4 linked regions of the Kluyveromyces lactis genome follow. The protein of the gene in region 3 interacts with the protein of the main gene of each other region in a pairwise test. Links are inferred from orthologs where the notes say so. Each region holds a gene or a part of one and is shown on either strand. Other genes may lie near its edges. The genes, in order: SCD6, LSM7, PAT1 and LSM4.

Evidence for each region.
Region 1: the proteins of PAT1 (region 3) and SCD6 interact in a two-hybrid assay, tested with the Saccharomyces cerevisiae proteins (2 studies listed by BioGRID). The link is inferred for Kluyveromyces lactis from reciprocal best matches to the Saccharomyces cerevisiae genes PAT1 and SCD6.
Region 2: the proteins of PAT1 (region 3) and LSM7 interact in binary tests that used the Saccharomyces cerevisiae proteins (3 or more experiments, as listed by UniProt). The link is inferred for Kluyveromyces lactis from reciprocal best matches to the Saccharomyces cerevisiae genes PAT1 and LSM7.
Region 4: the proteins of PAT1 (region 3) and LSM4 interact in binary tests that used the Saccharomyces cerevisiae proteins (3 or more experiments, as listed by UniProt). The link is inferred for Kluyveromyces lactis from reciprocal best matches to the Saccharomyces cerevisiae genes PAT1 and LSM4.

Annotation. Positions count from the first base shown.
Region 1 is NC_006038.1:986,158-988,862, reverse strand, and holds SCD6 (Scd6p), read left to right. Parts: upstream 1-1,252; coding exon 1,253-2,143; downstream 2,144-2,705. Other genes in the region: ANT1 (Ant1p), read right to left, coding at 1-570; peptide alpha-N-acetyltransferase complex B subunit NAT3, read right to left, coding at 2,319-2,705.
Region 2 is NC_006041.1:2,036,741-2,039,268, forward strand, and holds LSM7 (Sm-like protein LSM7), read left to right. Parts: upstream 1-1,540; coding exon 1,541-1,552; intron 1,553-1,682; coding exon 1,683-2,003; downstream 2,004-2,528. Other genes in the region: ALF1 (Alf1p), read right to left, coding at 587-1,339. UniProt on the Saccharomyces cerevisiae protein: Component of LSm protein complexes, which are involved in RNA processing and may function in a chaperone-like manner. Component of the cytoplasmic LSM1-LSM7 complex which is involved in mRNA degradation by activating the decapping step.
Region 3 is NC_006042.1:2,529,612-2,533,824, forward strand, and holds PAT1 (deadenylation-dependent mRNA-decapping factor PAT1), read left to right. Parts: upstream 1-1,336; coding exon 1,337-3,949; downstream 3,950-4,213. Other genes in the region: RQC2 (Rqc2p), read right to left, coding at 1-617. UniProt on the Saccharomyces cerevisiae protein: Activator of decapping that functions as a general and active mechanism of translational repression and required for P-body formation. First decay factor recruited to mRNA, at a time when the mRNA is still associated with translation factors.
Region 4 is NC_006041.1:1,855,103-1,857,453, reverse strand, and holds LSM4 (U6 snRNA complex subunit LSM4), read right to left. Parts: upstream 1,068-2,351; coding exon 516-1,067; downstream 1-515. Other genes in the region: TMN3 (Tmn3p), read left to right, coding at 1-28; SBF complex DNA-binding subunit SWI4, read left to right, coding at 2,131-2,351. UniProt on the Saccharomyces cerevisiae protein: Component of LSm protein complexes, which are involved in RNA processing and may function in a chaperone-like manner. Component of the cytoplasmic LSM1-LSM7 complex which is involved in mRNA degradation by activating the decapping step.

The sequences.
Region 1 (2,705 bases), on a different chromosome or scaffold from region 3:
GAAACTGTTGTCCCCTTCTAAACCACGTCTAGTCTGTTGTTTTGTCGAAACAATGTTGATTGGATTAGTGAATAACTGAGAGGTTGCTGCTGCCAGCATGGAAAGCAGCAATTCTTCAATTGTTGAAAACCTGGCAGCCTCACCCTTCACTTTCTTCACACGGAAATAATGTCTTCTGATCAAGGTATACCAGAAGAAATAAGAGAAACTCTGTATGAAAGTTCCAAGCAATGATGCGCTTAACCCATGGTATAATCCACCAAACCCTTCATTCCGATAAACTTTTACAATCACATCTAATGCATGCTTATACCGCTGCTCCAATGACTCTTTAGTCGCTGTCGGAGGTTCAGGCTTCGGTTTAATCTGCTGTATACCGTGTTTCTTCGGTTTACTGGAGCCAGTACTTTCCTTGGTAGAGACATCAGCTTGAACATCAGAAGAAGGGTACAAATCACCTTGTTTCAACTGAGTTTGAATCACAGTTTTCGCCAAATCAAGTGGATACACTGCCAAATTGGCAAACCCGCTGGAGACTGCCCCAACGAAAGCATTCTCTAAACTTGCCATATGTTACGGTGGTACGTGATTTAATTGACCCTGATCTACTAAACTTCGGCGTTTATAAAATTGATTATCTCCTGTTCACAATAAATTGTTAGAGGGGCGGTGATTCATTCAATAAGCACTGCAAAGTACTAAATTTACTTTTTTTTTTGATTTTATTATTCTCCGCTTCCAACCGAAGAGTTTAGGCTTGAAAACAGGAACATTTTGCACTTTACACCTTAGAAATTATATTCCATTTATATAGTAGTTACTTTCCCAGAATTATTCCCCAATTAGATGAATAGCGGTCACTTATCACAGATTATTTTCCAGTTTTTCGGCTGTAATGTCCCTTCTCCACACATTTTTTGGCTCTCGTCTGCCTCGAAGTGAGGATTCTTCGAAAAGAAAAAAAAAAAGTGTTGATATTGATCACGTGGTTTTGAAATGCCATTCGTCAACATCGAAAATTAATATTGAAACCGTCAAAACTATGAATTTCCATGCAGGTATTTCCAATTGAAGAATCTTTAGAAATCTAAGGGACTATGACATTGAATAATACTGACTGCATCTGCTAACGTTCGCTCTTAATTTAGAACTATTCCCACACTTTGATCGTTGTTCAAGAAGGATATTTGTTTGTATCTAGTGGGTTTTAGAAGTTAATTTATTGATTATAGAGTGTCCACTTTTTGAAAGGATGTCGCAATATATTGGTAAGACTATTGCTCTTATTTCGAATACTGATAACCGTTATGTCGGCTTATTGGAGTCTATTGACTCTGAGAAAGGTGTTGTTACTTTAAGACAAGTTCGTTGTTTCGGTACAGAGGGACGCAAGGGATGGGGCCCGGAAGAAATCTATCCCAACCCTAATATCTACGATACGGTGCCTTTCAACGGTAATGACGTTAAGGATTTAAACATTTTAGACGTTCCTTTGGAACAAGTACAACCTGTATTGCCACCTCAGGTAAGCGGTCAACCACCAGCTCCGTTGGCTAATGCAAATGGGCCCAACGTTCCTGCTGCGGTGGCCGGGTATGGTGTGTACGCTCCAGACAAGGATCAGCAGCAAGTTCCCCAACAACACCAGCAAAAACAGCAGCAGCAAAGACAGCAGACCCGCCAACAGCCTGTTACCGAAAAGAAAGTTCCTAACCAGCAACAGCAGAAGTCTGCGGCTCCTGCTGCTCCTGTGGCTGCGGTGGCTCCTTCTGCTGTTCCAGATTCTGAATTTGATTTCGAAAGTAACAACGCCAAATTCCAGAATGCTGAAAAGCCCAGAGAATCAGATATAGAACAAGAGAAGCAAACCTCCAAGACAGATGAGATTTTCTACGATAAAAAATCCTCATTCTTTGATTCCATTTCAAGTTCCGCCGTAGAAAACTCGTCTTCTGCCAAATGGGAAGAGGAACGCCAGGTCAACTTGGATACTTTCGGTCAAGCCAGACCAAGAAACAATGGTCGTGGCGGCTTCAGAGGTCGTGGTGGATATAGAGGTAACCGTGGCGGTAACCGCGGTGGCTTCCGTGGTGGAAATCGTAATGCTGCCAACAAGCCACCAGTCCATGATGTTGAATCTTAACAGAACCCCATTAAATACCTATTATCTCAACTACCTCTTAACACACCGGGAAATTGAAGCTAACACGAAATGAATCGAGCAATCTATCGAAGTAAAAGCAGGGAAAGACGCATGTGTAACATAGAAACACTAAGTATACAAATTTAAAAGCTATTATAATTTTAAAAGTACAGCATTAAAACCGTATGTCCATCGGCAAGCAATTATGTTTCCGTCCATCAGCACGAAGACTTTTTCCCTGGTCTCTTTCCATCCCATGTCTCATGTCAAAGGCATCCTTGAGGTCATTTGGTTTTGTTGACCGGGAAGGTATTGGATCAGTTTGCGAGTTGTAATATCCTACAACTCTTCTATAGACAGAATATCCCAATTTTTCATATAAACTGATCGCCAATTGGTTATTGCATTTCACAAATAAATCAATAAAGTTCACATTATGCGGGGAGTTATCTGTTATGGTTTTTAATGTGTCACATAGCATCGATGCAAGCGATATTCTCCTGAACCTAGGTGATATCGTCACAGCAGTAATGTGTGCATGCCAGTCTTGTCCTTTTCCCTC
Region 2 (2,528 bases), on a different chromosome or scaffold from region 3:
GAGAAGAACTGGCGACTTGATTTATTATAACAACGACAATAGGGCTCAAGCTGAAGTTCCATTAGAAACAACCTTCTCACGAAGCGAAAATCCCGTTAGGGATTTGCTTGATTATAACTCACCGGGGGTTTGAACCCTCGGCGAGCGGACAGCTGCGTTCCACCGAATTTCCCACCTGGAATGAGGAGAACAACTCCTCTGATCAAGTAGAACATTCAAATCACATGACCTCTTCTCAAAACACTTCAAAGTAACGAGCATCCACCTTATACTTAAGAGTGAATATTCTTTGAAGCGCTTCAAGGGCTTAGTATGAAGTTGAGAACAGGAAATGAATTGCCATATTTGATCTTTTTGTAACCAGGTTCATATGAACAGAGACTTTGTGTTCTGAGGAAGATTCGAACCGAAGTCGCAACGTGGCCTTTTTACCAGCTACGGCACAACACCCGACTCAAACCAATTACGAATTCATTCAGTAGTAGACCCTGTCACGTGTGTGTCAGGTGTCATTTCCGTAGTTCAGAGTATCATCCACGAGGCCAAGGACGAGAATATAATTAAACTTATGTAAATTATCAACTCCCTATAACTCATCATCTGTGAGCATCAATTCATCGTCAGCTAATGGCGTGAATTGAGGACCTACTTCAACAACGGCAGGTCTCACAAACCCGCCGTAATTCTTTTTTACTGGTCCGAAATACTTCGTTCCTTGGAATGTACCATTGTTCTTACCGTCAGGTTCGTCAAATTCAATTCCACACCATACATCTGTATTACTGATCTCTTGAACTTTTCCCACGTATCGTAACCATCCTCTTCTTTCGGGGACCTTGGTGGAATCGGTCGTTGTTTCCTCGTTGGACAGTACTCTGCATCTTTCTCCAACGTGTTTTTGTAATAGTTCTGCCTTATCGATATTCAGTTGTAGTTGTTCTTCCATCTTAGAGCGGTATTCAGGATTAAATTTCCCTAACTTGTTATCTTTTTTCCATTGTAATACAGAATCCCTTCTGTTCTCATAATCGTCCATGGTGTATCGGAACGAAACGTCATCGCTATTAGCATGTAGCAAATCATTTTTCAATTGGCTTGCTAAACTGTTTTCGTTGGTGTCTATCACTTTTATGGACTGGATTTTCTCTACTTTCTGGTCTTTGAGATCTTTCAAATACTTGCTGTTCTGTGCATTGCCATTTATCACCAATTTCATGTCTTGAACATCAACACCGGTCAATTCGTTCAATCTTTGGCCCAGATGGTCCCATGATGTACCAGGTTTCACAAAGATCTGAGTGTTAACCAAATCGGATATAATTTCCACGTCAGATGACATTATCGGTGCTGATATATCCTCTGTTTTATTTTGTCTTCGATGCTGTAAGTTCAATGTTTGTCGTTTTGTCCAGGCATGTTTGAACATCGAATTTTTCAATGTTCCGTAAACTTAAATGAAAAGTTAATTTGAAACCAGTAACACACTTTGACAATAACCCATTGAGCAAACAGCGCTACCCCACCCAACCAACTACTAATAATGAGCGAAGCAGTATGTTAACTACTATAATTAGGACGGCTTTCTAAAACTTCTTCAACTTTCTCAAAACAATGATCCATTCTACATTTTAAGTTCAAATTTACTAACAGTTAGAGAGTTTATACATTCCCCTTCTCTGCAGAGGCAATCACAACAACCGAGACAAGAGCAGAAGAAGAAGTTCGAAGGCCCAAAGCGTGAGTCTATCATAAATCTTGCACAATATAAGGACACAGAAGTACGTGTCAAGTTCATAGGGGGAAGACTGGTCACTGGAATCCTAAAGGGTTATGACGAGCTAATGAACTTGGTTCTTGACGAAACCGTCGAATATGCAAGAGACCCAGAAGATGAAACCATCATCCACAAGGACCAAGCCAAAAAAATTGGTTTGGTCGTCATAAGAGGAACAGCTCTACTTTCGCTATGTTCCCTCGAAGGTGCTGAGATCATCAATACCTAGTTAAGACCCAAAAAAAAAAAATTTCAAGCAACAGTGTACCATATATGTTCATTAATAGTGCTATATAACGTTCAGTGCTATATCAAACTCACACTATGAGCCCATATCCACATTTCTACCTGTATCTAATGAAATAAGTATCTCCAACGGAGATACTTTCCTAACCGGCTACATCTCACTTATCAAGACCTAATCTGCACAAATGTGCGTTCACGTGACTTATTGAATCTTTTTTCTAACATCAGCAAAGCTTTTTGGTTAAATTTCGACCAAAAAACCGTATCTCATCGCATCGACTGATTAGAGAGATATCTTGAATTCTTTAAACCGACTGCGTCCAGGTGTTCATTTATATATATGTGAGTATATATCTCTTGTGAGAGTTGTTCTTTTAACGTTTCAAATTCTCTTTTCGCTTGTTGCTGCAAATCTGTTTGAATAATATTTTCTGTAGTATTCTTACTCTTTACTGAAGACCAATCAATTAGCGCATCAAAGCGAACTTCACTTAGGTTTATCTGCTGC
Region 3 (4,213 bases):
ACAGATGCTTTTCCCTTGAGTTTACCTTTTTTAGCCTCTCCGGGCACAATTGTGCTTTTGGCTTTAACGTCGGCTTCTTTCAACCAATCTGCTATTTCATTTTCGAAATATTCCTTAGGATCAGGAACCGTAGTTGAAGTTTGGTTAATTTCTGCAAAGTTGGCCATGTCATAAAATTCACCAACTTTCATCGAATAATCATCGACAACTCTCTGTAGTAAAAGAATTTTTTGGTCAGCATCCAATAAAAGCACATTTCCGGCACTGAAAAATTCTAAAACAAGGTAGTACTTACCATCAGCAAAAGTAAACACAATTATTCTGTCATTTGGGATCTGCTTAACTGCCGTCAATCGTTTTTCTTTCAAATACGATCTCAATTTGGAAACAAACCACGAAGGAGTCGGGGGAATCGGCCTGGTAAAGTCAGTAGTATGAACTCGCAATCCGCAATCAATGACAACGTTTAACTTGGAATCGGGTTTTCCAAACTTTAATAAGAATTGCCTGTTTGAGTCAGCAATGTTATAGATATTTCTTAAGCGAAATCCTACAATTTGATTCTCCAACTCTTTGGATATCAGTTGCAAATCTAACGAACTCAATCTCTGTTTCATTTTCTAGTATCAAATCCAAGATTATAGTTTAGATATTTCGTACTCTCCAAGTTGCAGTTAAGTCCACTTTACCAGTCTGAGTTGATTCTTTTCGAGCACTATACTTGATTCAGATCTTCATACAAATCAGTATTTTCACTGCTAATCAGATTAAAATTATTAGAACTTGGTCACTGCTATTAGATCAGATATCTTTTATTACTTAGGTTTAAGACTAAACTGCTAAGCTGATATATTTTCCAGATAGCTGTACCTAGGATGTTAGTAGTATATGTCATCTTTGTCTATTCGCAATCACTTTATATATGCTGCTAATGAAGGAAAGAAAGACTACGTACGAGTTTGTATTGGAACTTTCTAAACTACCATGTTGAAAAATGTCAAATATTTGAAATCACATGACCTGAATTTCAAATTTTGAACTAGAAATCCTTAATATGTATATCATCTTGCACGGTGAAATTTTTCATCAAACAACAACCCAAAAATGTAATTCACTTAACAAGCAAAGTAGTTTCTATGCTCAAAAATAAGTGATCAGAGATATTCAGAGACCGTTTGTTGGAAGATTGCTTGAACGAAACGCAGGCAGGTAGCGACTTAAATCACATTACTTGTGTTTTTAAGAGAATATAATAGGATTTGTCGACAATTCTGATCTAGAAATCGATTTTTGCCCAATTAGTATAGGAGTCCTTATATTCCTGAATCACTGAACGATGTCATTCTTCGGTTTTGACGCCACGGGCCGAAAACCTCGTGAGAGGAAACAGCAAGGCGAGGAGGATTCTTTAGATTTCGAAGAAACGTATCAAGGCTTGGGTGATTATGAGCCAGAGGAAGATGATTTGCTCAATGATGAAACTTTTGGTACTGGAGCGGATCTGGGTACAGATTTTGATTTTGGTTACGGTAAAGGGGAGCTTGGCGCTGGTTCAGGTTCTGGTAGGGCACCAGCACCAGCTCCTGTTTCTTATGCATCTATTGCAAATGCCAAAATGAACAGACAAGCAGACTGTAAACCTGGTTTCGAACAATCGCTGGACATGCAACCTATGGAATCTTTATGGGGTAACAGCTCCGGTAATCAGCAACAACAGGTGCAACCTCAAGCCCCTACACAATTCCAAGCCCCACCACAGGTTCAACAGCAAGGTGCACCTAATGTGGAAGGATTGGCCATTCAATCTTTAGACAGACAACAACAGATGGCTATGCCGCCTCAACCTGGATTCTATGGTATGCAACCTCCGCAGAACCCTGGCTACGGCTTTATTCCACAAGGGTTCCCTCAAGGTCAATACCAGCAATTCCCTGGGCAAAATATTCCCCCTGTTATCCCTAATCAATTCGGTAATGCCGGATTTCCTAATCAACCTGTTAACCCTCAGGAACAATTCCAACAAGTACCACCGATAATGTACAATCAAACACAAGGAAACATTGCACATCATATGCAACATCCGCAGATGGCTATGCCACCAATGCAAAATCAACCTCCTGTTCAGCCCCAGCAGCCCCACCAACAGCAGTTACCTCCCCAATACTTGCCTCAACAACACCAACAAGATCAGCAGCACCAACAACAACACCAACAGCAACAAGTGTTCCAACAGCCTCACTCCGTTGACACTGCTGCTAGAACCCAAGCTGTCCGTTCTACTCAAGATTATGAGCATTCTAACTCTCCAACACCTGTGCCAACAGAATCAGAGCAGGTGCCAACTCCACCTCATACACCTAGAGAGTATCGCCGTGGTCCAAGGAGGTTTGGCACCCAAGATCCTTTGACTGATGAAGAATTGAGACGTCTTCAAATCAGACAATCGAAGGTTGACAAAATTCTCAGACACTCTGGTGTAATGACTCCAAGAGACAAGGATTTTATCACCAGGTATCAGTTATCTCAAATTGTCACTGATGATCCCTACAATGAGGATTTCTACTTCCAAGTTTATAAAATCATTCAAAGGGGTGTCACTCCATCTGAATCTAATAAGGATTCTATTGCTAAAGCATATTTAGAGCACTCGGGTCACAGATTAGGAGGTCGTTACAAGAGAACTGACGTCGCGTTACAGAGAATGCAATCTCAGGTCGAGAAGGCTGTTACCGTTGCGAAAGAAAGACCACAGAAAAGTAAGGGTGGGTTGGATAATGCCAAAGAGGGTGTCTTGGGTAAAATCTCAGCTACTAGGAACTCAAAAGCTCCAAGAAAGCAATTACAAATCCCAACTCACAAAGAGGATTCTCCAGCGTTGTCTTCTCAATCAAGCTCAGCCCTAGATGAGGTGTCTGAATCTTTGCAAGGCGTGGATATCAATGCCAAAAGAAGAAGATCATCTTATGCTTTGAGTTCTTCAGTGGACCATCGTACAGTTTTATCCCGTTCTGGTGGCCGTAAGTTCATTTTATCATTGATTGAAACTGTTTACGAAGAAGTGCTTGAACTAGAAGCTCAATTGAGATCCGGTCAACAGCCGGACAGTTCAAAATTATGGGAGGCGCTACACGTTGAGGACCACGGTTTTGACGTTTCTCCCTTCATTTCCATCTTATCTTTCGACAAAGGTATCAAGATTATGCCACGTATTATGAATTTCTTGTCAAGAGAAGAGAAGATTAAGCTTTTCAACTGCTTCTTCAAGGAACTTTCTCATTTGAATGTCATTGTCATATCATCGTACAAGACTACTCCACTTCCTACTAAAGATCAACTGAAGAAGATGGAATTGTTCCAATCTGTGTTTTTGAAGATCATTGTTTCGTTCTTATCCAGTTCAGCAGAGTTTTTGGAGGTAATGAGTCTACTAATAAATGTCATTCAGAATAATAACGTTTCTTTCATCACCACATCGCGTATCGGTTTGAATTTGATTACCGTGCTCATTTCACGTGCTGCTTTGATGAAACAAGATGTTAGCAGGGGCAAACTGTTGTCTTCTGTGGAAGTATCCACTTGGAGTGAAGTCTATGATAGGCTATTTACTTCTTTAGAAACAAAATTGACTGCAATTTTCCCAACACCTGAATATATGCAACACGCCATTTCAGTTTATGAACAGGATTCTACTCAGTATGATCAATCTTACATCTGGCAGTTCCTTGCATCGCTTGCTTTGAGCGGAAAATTGAACCATCAACGTATATTGATTGATGAAGTGAGAGACGAAATTTTCGAAGTCATTTCAAAGGCTGAAGAACTAAATGCCCCTTCTCAACAAGACCCTAAACTGGCTTATCAAAGAAACAAGTTCTATCAGGATTTGAACTTGTTCTTGAATGTCATGGGTCTTGTTGCTCGTGATGGTGAAATCACTGAACTGAAGTGATCGATATCGTGCGCCTCCTCTGATCAGCCCCTATCTCGATTGCCACTGTTAACTGTGTGCTACAAATTCGAAATCAAATCTCAAGGAAAAAAATTGCAAAAAAAAGTCAGCTTTATAGTATCTAAGTAATTCTTCTATTTACTATTACAAATGTATCATATTTCCATCTACTAGAACACTTCAATCCTTATGAACGCCGAAAGTGCAATATGTACCGTAAAGCCAAATGATTCGGTTCCTGTTCCTCACCCTGTGTTTCTGTTA
Region 4 (2,351 bases), on a different chromosome or scaffold from region 3:
GCTGAATGAATATAACAAGGCTAAATAAGTTCGCCTCTTATATTTAAAGTGAGGCCAAAAAAAAAAAGTCCGGCTCTCTTCAGGAGTCTCATATTTCTCCTATATAATACTGCATATCTAGCATGGACTTTCTAAACCAAGCATTTTTGTATAGAGTAATTTAAAAAATAACAACATTTGATCTTTTCCACGGTACCCATGCTCACATACTCTTAATATATAAAGCACTGATATACTGCTTTGAACTTAAGGTTCACTAACTCTGAATCATAATTAATAGGTAGTTCTTTTAATTTCATAACCCAAATTCAGTTTTAAATCTCAAAAGTGTGAAAGGAGTAACGAGAAAAAGGTTTAGGATATCGCATCGAATGCAATCGAAACAGATGTTTTTATAGACTTTTGACCGTCCAAGCCAACAAAATAGTCTCTTTAACCGCAATAAAAGTGATTGAATATGTAACCATGTAGACACACAAATACTTAAGAATTAAATGCTGAGAAAAGAGGTTAAATCAAAATTGTGGAGTTTGATTACTATTGTTTGACGCCTGCGAATACGAAAGCTGTGGATTGGATGATGCATCGTATTGTGATCTATTTTGAATATTATAACGACGAGATCCTGCATTGTTATGGCTGTGAGTATTGTTATTATTATTATTATTATTATTATTGTTGTTGTTGTAATCCCTTCTGTTACCTGAGTTTTGATAGTTTCTTCTACCACCTCTTCTGTTACCATCCCTATTCTGATAATAATTATTGTTATTATTGTAGTTGTTATTTCTTCTTCTATCGTCTTTACCGCCTCTGTTTTGACCCCATTGTTGTTTTACCTTGTCTATGATATCATCTTGCAAATTAACATACTTGATGAAAGAACCTTTCAAATAGAAGCTTGGTAATTTCAAAGTCTCTCCACTAGCTACATGAGTGACATTGGAAAGTGTCAAGTTCATCCAATTGTCTACATCAGATAGCGTACCTTCCACAGTTTCTCCATTTTTTAGTTCAACATGCATTGTTTGACCCTTTGCATTGGTCAATAAATATAATGGAAGCATTTTATGTTATAACTTATTGATCTGTTTTACCAATTATAGTGTGCCCGTGCTGTCGTATTTCTTTAGGTATCTCAAACCGTAGTAACTTAATCGTAGGAAAGGGTGGGGCCGGAACAATATACAATATACCAAAAAATTAGGACTCTGTCTGTCTGGAGAAGGAAAAATGTGAGGGAAAAAAGTATGAATTAGACTTTGTTGCTTATCTGCGTATCTGTAGTTTGAGTTATGTAACACTCCCTAGTAGGACGAACCAAATGCATACAATTGCATTGACAATATTTAAATTCCAATTACAATATAACTTCAGTTTTTCCAAATTTCATTGAGCTGGAAAAAGCATTCTCGACATTTCATAAAATTCATTTACCGGGTAACACTTAAAAGTTTCGAATCACGTGAGTGTCCCGGGTAATACTGACACGTGAATATAATCTGATTATTGATTTTTCTCTTATTTTTTCACTTTTAAGACTGTTTCTGCCCCCCTACTCCTTCGTGTCATACGGACCCTTCTAGGCGTTTTGAAAGGTTGCCTCAGCTTTGAATATGGGAACACACTGGAGTGAGGTTTGAAATGTGAGATCTGAGATTTTTTTTTTGGTGAGGCATCTAATCTTTCTTTTCCCAATTGGGTAAAGAGATTTGATCACAGTTTAAAATAAAGATTATAATCTTTTGAAAGCAGACTTTCTCACGCACTTTACAATGTCATTTATGATTTGTGTATACCTTTGTTATTAACAGTGTCTGTAGGCTACGTGAACTTAGCTAAATATCAGAGCATTCCAGTTGAGATTGATTTGGTCTGCTACTCCGATATCTGGATACATTTTTGGGCACTGGTGGAAAAGCTAGAATAACCGTAACTGCGTGGTATATTTTACGTTGAATTTTACAAAGTGAGCGAGCTTGAGATCACATTGCCAGGAGCAGAAGCAGAAGCAGCAGCAGAAGGTGACACTCGACTCGAAACGCTTTGTTGACTCTGGCGTGCTTTTCTTTGCTTTGTTTTGTCTAAAACAATTAGGATTTCGTGTGCATTTATTTCTTTCGTGTAATTATGGAACAACACTTGTCGCATCATAGCGGCAACGTTTTTGACAAGGAATCTATCCTTCAAATGCACATGGGCACTCATCATCATTCTGAGAATGATACACTTTTGAAACCGTTCAATTCTAATTTATTAGGAGCTAATAGTGGTGCTACCAATAATTCTTCTTCATCCACGGGAGCATCCTCTTCGATGATCGATGAAAGGCAGATCGATGGGAGTTTAAA